Xenopus tropicalis: one gene and its partner. The protein of the gene in region 1 interacts with the protein of each later gene in a biochemical or structural test. Links are inferred from orthologs where the notes say so. Each region holds a gene or a part of one and is shown on either strand. Other genes may lie near its edges. The genes, in order: fen1 and hus1.

Evidence for each region.
Region 2: the proteins of fen1 (region 1) and hus1 form a complex in vitro, tested with the Homo sapiens proteins (2 studies listed by BioGRID). The link is inferred for Xenopus tropicalis from reciprocal best matches to the Homo sapiens genes FEN1 and HUS1.

The regions. Positions count from the first base shown.
Region 1 is NC_030680.2:23,225,595-23,229,419, reverse strand, and holds part of fen1 (flap endonuclease 1), read left to right. Parts: intron 1-2,591; 5' UTR 2,592-2,651; coding exon 2,652-3,800; 3' UTR 3,801-3,825. UniProt on the Homo sapiens protein: Structure-specific nuclease with 5'-flap endonuclease and 5'-3' exonuclease activities involved in DNA replication and repair.
Region 2 is NC_030682.2:59,402,634-59,406,458, forward strand, and holds part of hus1 (checkpoint protein HUS1), read right to left. Parts: intron 3,426-3,825; coding exon 3,298-3,425; intron 2,629-3,297; coding exon 2,452-2,628; intron 1-2,451. UniProt on the Homo sapiens protein: Component of the 9-1-1 cell-cycle checkpoint response complex that plays a major role in DNA repair. The 9-1-1 complex is recruited to DNA lesion upon damage by the RAD17-replication factor C (RFC) clamp loader complex.

The DNA of each region.
Region 1 (3,825 bases):
AAATCACTGCCCGAGATGTGCAGCAAGCTCTGCCAACTTTTTTCACATGATCTGGTCATGCCCCCATATTGCTAAATTCTGGTCAGCAGTGACCAAATATCTATCAAACAACTTAGCCTTCCCCACTGTGACCGCTCCTGAAACCTGCTTGCTAGGAGTCCTAGACACTATAATTGCCCAAAATAGCTCCCGGCTACGCTACAGAATATTGCTGTTCTATGCCAAAAAAACAGTTGCAATGCACTGGATGGGCACTACCCTCCCCACTGTTACAGCCTGGAAGAATCTAGTGAATGCTGTTGTCCCTCTTTACAAACTTACATATGAGAACAGGGGCGTGTCCGATAAATTCGATAAAGTTTGGGGTCCTTGGTGTGATCTGGAGGGAAACTGAAGGACTCTACTCCCATTCACAGGGTAAAATCCCCGGCGTTTCCCCACTTCTCTCTACCATATCCTGAGCACTTAGCTCAGTAGGTTGATGTACCCAATACTATGTAACTGCCGCCAGATCCACCCTTAAACTTTGTATTGTTACACTTTCCCCCTCGATGTTTGTAACAATCCTTAAAGACAGACCTGAAAAGAAAGACTAGCATATTCTATTTACTGTAATGTTAAATGTGTTATTTTATGTTTTTGTTTGTATAAAAAGCAATAAAACATACCTTTCAAAAAAAGATAACACAAGTAAACACAAAATGCAGTTTTTAAATGAGGGTTTTTATTATTTAGGGAGAAAAAAAATCCAAACCTACATGGCCCTGTGTGAAAAAGTAATTGCCCCCTGAACCTAATAACTGGTTGGGCCACCCTTAGCAGCAATAACTGCAATCAAGCGTTTGCGATAACTTGCAACGAGTCTTTTACAGCGCTCTGGAGGAATTTTGGCCCACTCATCTTTGCAGAATTGTTGTAATTCAGCTTTATTTGAGGGTTTTCTAGCATGAACCGCCTTTTTAAGGTCATGCCACAACATCTCAATAGGATTCAGGTCAGGACTTTGACTAGGCCACTCCAAAGTCTTCATTTTGTTTTTCTTCAGCCATTCAGAGGTGGATTTGCTGGTGTGTTTTGGGTCATTGTCCTGCTGCAGCACCCAAGATCGCTTCAGCTTGAGTTGACGAACAGATGGCCGGACATTCTCCTTCAGGATTTTTTGGTAGACAGTAGAATTCATGGTTCCATCTATCACAGCAAGCCTTCCAGGTCCTGAAGCAGCAAAACAACCCCAGACCATCACACTACCACCACCATATTTTACTGTTGGTATGATGTTCTTTTTCTGAAATGCTGTGTTACTTTTACGCCAGATGTAACGGGACACGCACCTTCCAAAAAGTTCAACTTTTGTCTCGTCGGTCCACAAGATATTTTCCCAAAAGTCTTGGCAATCATTGAGATGTTTTTTAGCAAAATTGAGACGAGCCATAATGTTCTTTTTGCTTAAAAGTGGTTTGCGCCTTGGAAATCTGCCATGCAGGCCGTTTTTGCCCAGTCTCTTTCTTATGGTGGAGTCGTGAACACTGACCTTAATTGAGGCAAGTGAGGCCTGCAGTTCTTTAGATGTTGTCCTGGGGTCTTTTGTGGCCTCTCGGATGAGTTGTCTCTGCGCTCTTGGGGTAATTTTGGTCGGCCGGCCAATCCTGGGAAGGTTCACCACTGTTCCATGTTTTTGCCATTTGTGGATAATGGCTCTCACTGTGGTTCACTGGAGTCCCAAAGCTTTAGAAATGGCTTTATAACCTTTACCAGACTGATAGATCTCAATTACTTTTGTTCTCATTTGTTCCTGAATTTCTTTGGATCTTGGCATGATGTGTAGCTTTTGAGGTGCTTTTGGGCTACTTCTCTGTGTCAGGTAGCTCCTATTTAAGTGATTTCTTGATTGAAACAGGTGTGGCAGTAATCAGGCCTGGGGGTGACTACAGAAATTGATATTGAAATTGAAAATTGAAATTGATAAACCACAGTTAAGTTATTTTTTAACAAGGGGGGCAATCACTTTTTCACACAGGGCCATGTAGATTTGGAGTTTTTTTTCTCCCTTAATAACGTAAACCTTCATTTAAAAACTGCATTTTGTGTTCAATTATGTTATCTTTGACTAATAGTTAACGGTTTTTGATGAGCAGAAACATTTAAGTGCGACAAACATGCAAAAGAATAAGAAATCAGGAAGGGGGCAAATAGTTTTTCACACCACTGTAGATATATATTGTTCCTTAATATGAACCTGGGGACTAAAAGTTCTATTTGACCCACGCAAGCAGTCCTAACGTTTCTCTTTACTTTCCGTTTTACTGTTTATACATAAGGGTGAAGACACACAGCTACTAGTAGCAGCTACTTGTCACGGCTACAAAAAAAGACAATGCTGATCATTTACTGATAATTGTCCCTACATGTAGGGAATTCTCAGTATTGTCTATGGCAGGGGACTTAGTAGCCGTGACGGGTAGCTGCTACTAAGTAGCTCCATGTGTCTTAGCCCTAAGTGAAATTGGGTTTGTTATTTTGTGCACTCATTGTACATTAAGTCCATGCAACTAAGTCTTTACCTTTTTTTTTTTTTTTTTTTTTTTTTAAAGGTTTAATCTGCGTTGTTGAACTCTGCATCTTCCTTCTCTATTACCAAGTCTACTTTTGCAATGGGAATTCACGGTTTGGCCAAACTTATTGCAGATGTGGCACCTGCAGCTATCAAGGAGCATGATATCAAAAGTTACTTTGGCCGAAAGGTGGCTGTTGACGCTTCCATGTGCATTTATCAGTTCCTTATTGCCGTACGACAGGATGGCAACATGCTGCAAAACGAGGACGGTGAAACCACGAGCCATCTTATGGGTATGTTCTACCGTACCATTCGCATGATAGAGCATGGCATTAAACCCGTTTATGTGTTTGATGGAAAGCCGCCACAGATGAAGTCAGGTGAACTAGCCAAACGCAGCGAGCGTAGGGCAGAGGCAGAGAAGTTGCTTGAAGCTGCCGAGGAGGCTGGGGAGGTGGAGAACATTGAGAAGTTTAACAAAAGACTTGTCAAAGTCACTAAACAGCACAATGAGGAGTGCAAGAAATTGCTTACCCTGATGGGCGTTCCTTATGTGGATGCACCTTGTGAGGCTGAAGCCACATGTGCAGCCTTGGTGAAAGCAGGGAAGGTGTATGCTGCAGCCACTGAAGACATGGATGCCCTGACTTTTGGCACTCCTGTGCTGCTTAGGCACCTAACCGCAAGTGAAGCTAAAAAGCTGCCTATTCAGGAGTTCCACCTAAACCGTGTTATGCAGGACATGGGTGTCTCACATGAGCAATTTGTGGATCTCTGTATCTTGCTTGGAAGTGATTACTGTGAAACCATCCGTGGCATTGGACCCAAAAGGGCCATTGACCTGATCCGTCAGCATAAGTCAATTGAAGAGATCGTAGATAACATTGACCTCAAAAAATACCCCATTCCGGAGAACTGGCTGCACAAGGAGGCCAGGCAGCTTTTCTTGGAACCAGAAGTAGTAGACACCGAGAGCACAGAGCTAAAGTGGATAGAGCCCGATGAAGAGGGATTGGTGGCCTTCATGTGTGCAGAGAAGCAGTTTAGCGAAGACCGCATACGCAACGGGGCCAAAAAGTTGTCAAAGAACCGGCAAGGCAGCACACAGGGCCGGCTCGATGACTTTTTCAAAGTGACAGGATCCATTAGCTCAACTAAAAGGAAAGAGGTAGAATCCAAAGGATCTGCCAAAAAGAAAGCCAAAACTGCAGGTACCCCCGCAGGAAAGTTTAAGAGGGGGAAATGAATGAGTTGGGAAACTATCAAGAACT
Region 2 (3,825 bases), on another chromosome or scaffold:
CTAATCTAGTTTAACATAACCTCAGTGTGCTGCTAAAAGCAATACCCTGAGCCACACCTCTCACAACTCTGGTCATGCCCATTCCCACACCTTGTGCCTCAACCCTTTCTCCTTGTAGATTGTAAGCTCTTTTGGGCAGGGCTCTCTTCACCTCCTGTATCGGTTATTGATTGCTTTATATGTTACTCTGTATGTCCAATTTATGAAACCCACTTATTGTACAGCGCTGCGGAATATGTTGGCGCTTTATAAATAAATAATAATATTAATAATAATGATAAGTGATATCGTAATTTCCTAAAAATGTACAACTTGCAAAATGTAACTTCCTTCACAGGATTCATTTTACTTTGGAATGAAGCGACACACAGGCATTCAACTAAACAAAAGTTTGTGTATACCCAGTTTTAGGCCAACTGACCTCCACATTCATAAGAAACCAAGTCAAGGCTTACTGCAGAGTACTCCTAAAGAAGATTACATATAATGGCCTACACCAGATCTTGCTGCTTAACAAAATAACTATAGTTAAAGTACAATATTCCTTTATATGACAGCATTTTTTTATGTAACTTATAATTATAAAAGTTTCTCTGCCTTAATGAACTACTTGAAATGAGCTTCTTGAAACACTTGTGTTATTTTTAGCTGGCTGAGTGGGAGCAAGATTCTGAACTATATAGTTACCCAGAAATAAATCACTTGAGACAATGAATGCATAACAAGGGTGGCTTGTTTTTATACCATTACATCACTTTTATTATCTATTCTACTACAATTCCTCCCCTTCTAAGTTTAACTCCTTCAAATAATCTCAGTGGCAATCTACCCTCTACTTTGGCTCATATCACTATGAGAGCAATCATGTCAGGATGAAAGCAATGTTAGGGAAAAAAATAATATTAACAAGGAGCTAATTATATGGGAGGGATGAAATAATGGCTGAACTAGCTTCACCTATAGCGAATTGGAGAAGGCCAACCCTGCCTCCTGACCTAGCTACTTGTTGGATTTAAGGCTGATGCCGCAAGGGTGTATTCTCGGCAAGCCAAAAAACCCTTGCCGATAATACGCCCGCTACTGTAAAAGTGTCCTACCTTGTGCCTGGACCTGAACGAATGGAATACGCTCGGATGCAGGCATATGTAGCTGATATCCACCAAAAAACGCAAGACTTCATATCTTCTGAGGATATGACCTACATGTGCCTGAACCCGAGCATATTCCATTTCACAGGTAGGAGCGTATGGCATTATTTTCGGCAAACGATATTCAGGTTGCCGAAAATATACGCCATATGCAAAGTGTGGCATCAGCCTAAATCAAGACGATAGGCTGTCACTGCAGCCTTTTTCAAAGGCTGAAAAAGGCTGCAGTGACAGCCGAAACGTTAGTCTGTATTAATAAATTTTCTGTTTATTGCACTAAGACCTGTGAGTGCGGCATCCTTGCTATTTTTGTACTACACTTGTATATACTGCACCCAGGCATTTTTGGCTCCATTTTCACGCGAGTGCCTGCTTTGCATGACTTTATATATATATATATATATATATATATATATATATATATAAAACTTTTATGAATTGCTTCCTGCCTCTTACTATTTCACCCTTTATCTTTTTCACATTTTCATAACCACTCTCCTCATGTATGTTCCTGAATCAGCTCTCCCACAACCCTATTTATTATCATATTATGTGATAGAAAGGGGTGGGGAAGTAATTTTGTTCTTACCATGCCTACAGTATCGGGGTCTTATCGTATCCTCATTTATACTTGCCCGATTGGATCGGTGTGAGACAGTTTTGAGTGTCAAGGTCCTAAGAAGTTATTTACAATTATCCAGAACAAGTGCTAGAACACAAAGGGGTGTAAAAAATCACTGTGTCTAGAAGAGTTGACAGTGGGGTAGTGTAAAAAACTAGGTGGCTTTTCCACGTGTTTTTTGAACTTTGACATTAATCTAGAGAGATCTTTTCCTAACAGCAGGAAAAGGTGCACACAGATTATGCAATTTATGCTTTGCTTATAACCTTTGACTCTCTTCTGGGCTTCTGCCTGTCTCTGAAACTCTCTGCCTCGAGCCATCAGTCTCTCCCCTTCCTTCCAAACACTCCCTAAAAACCCATCAATTTAGGAAAGCATATTCAATATATCCCGACTGATCCAACATTTATTTATGTATCATATATCATCAATCTGTTTCCATATTCCTTTTGTACCCTTAACCCCTTTAGATTGTAAGCATTTGCAAGTAGGGCCCTATGATTCTATTGTTACTCAAAACCCTTGATGGTTAAATCATTGTAAGAGCTGTATAATTTGCTGGCGCTATAAAAAAAATGTATAATAATACTTACAAACAACATTTGTAAGAAGATTTTACATACAAACATGCCTTCGTAGACAAAATACAATTATGCCGATATAAAATTCAAATTTCCTTACCAACTCTAGAGCCACTGTCAGACATGGGCAATGCTTGTTTGTCAGTTTTACTTTCACAGATTTAGCATTCTGAGCAGTTTTTAATGCTCGGGAAAGATTTTCAGGTATCAGCTCCAAGAAGATTTCATTCTGCTCCATGCAAACACCTTCCATTTGATATTCATCAAAGAAATTGCCCTGAAATATAAACAAAATTCTCAAAAAAAAATATCCTAAACCCATTGACCTTGTTTAGGTTTTGGATCATTTCAATCAATGTATTGAAAGTAGTCAAGCCTTCGTTTCCTGTTACAATAGCCTTTAGTTTTCTGGAAAGGCTTTTCTCTAAATGTGAGAATATTTTTAAGATTTGCTTCCAGCCACCCACAGAAGCATGTGTGAGGCTGACCAGTGACAAAGCTTGATCAGGCCTGGCTTGCAGACAGTATTTCAATCACAGGCGTTAACTGGTTAACAAATGTTGCTTGATGCATTTGTTATTAGCATGCTGAAACAGGAAAGAGCCTTCACCAAAAGAGAAAAAAACATGGTACTTACACCAGGTAAAGGAAATTCATATCTGGTGCAAGTACAGTGCTTTAGAAAACAGAAACAGAGGGTCATATATGCTTGGCAGCAAACTTTAGCATTGGTCGTAATAGCGTTCTTACATAGAGCCCTGGTTGGATTAAGACAGATGTAAGAAGCTCAAAAAGCTGAAATACAGGACTGTGATTAGTCCAATAAGAATAGTAGTTACCAAACTCTTTAAAAACTTTTTTTCTTTTTAATAAAGGCATATTTGAACGAATATTGAGCAACCATCCTAGGAGTTTGATAATTACATGTATTACCAAAGTGGATTACCTGGCTAAGCTCACACCACATACTGACTCCTCCATTGGCTACCTTGTCAGTTAGAATAAAGTACAGATTGTTAACGGTGAGCCTGAGGGTACATGTCTTTGTCAGCTTGCTTATTGTATTTATGACTCCTTCAGAAGAGAAATCAAAGAAAGAGAAAATTAAAATACAACACACACGTTACTGAAACACAATTACAATGCAGTGATACTGATGCATTCTTCATGTTTTATTGTAATACTTTAAAAATCTTCCTTGCACTGATGTAACATAATAAAACTACGATTTTGCCTCTCCTCAACCACTAGTTATTACTATTGTTAGTAAACAGTAACGCCATACTACTGTCATTGCTCCACCCCCACCAGGACTATTACAGCAGTCATGGAAAGAAGGCATGGCGAGAGTCCAAAACCAGAAAAAAAGACTGCTGTACCAATGATGTTGAACTAACAATTACCCAATAGGTTGGAACACTGATGTAAGCCGTGCCTTAAAGAGGACCTGTCACCCAGGCATAAAAAGCTGTAT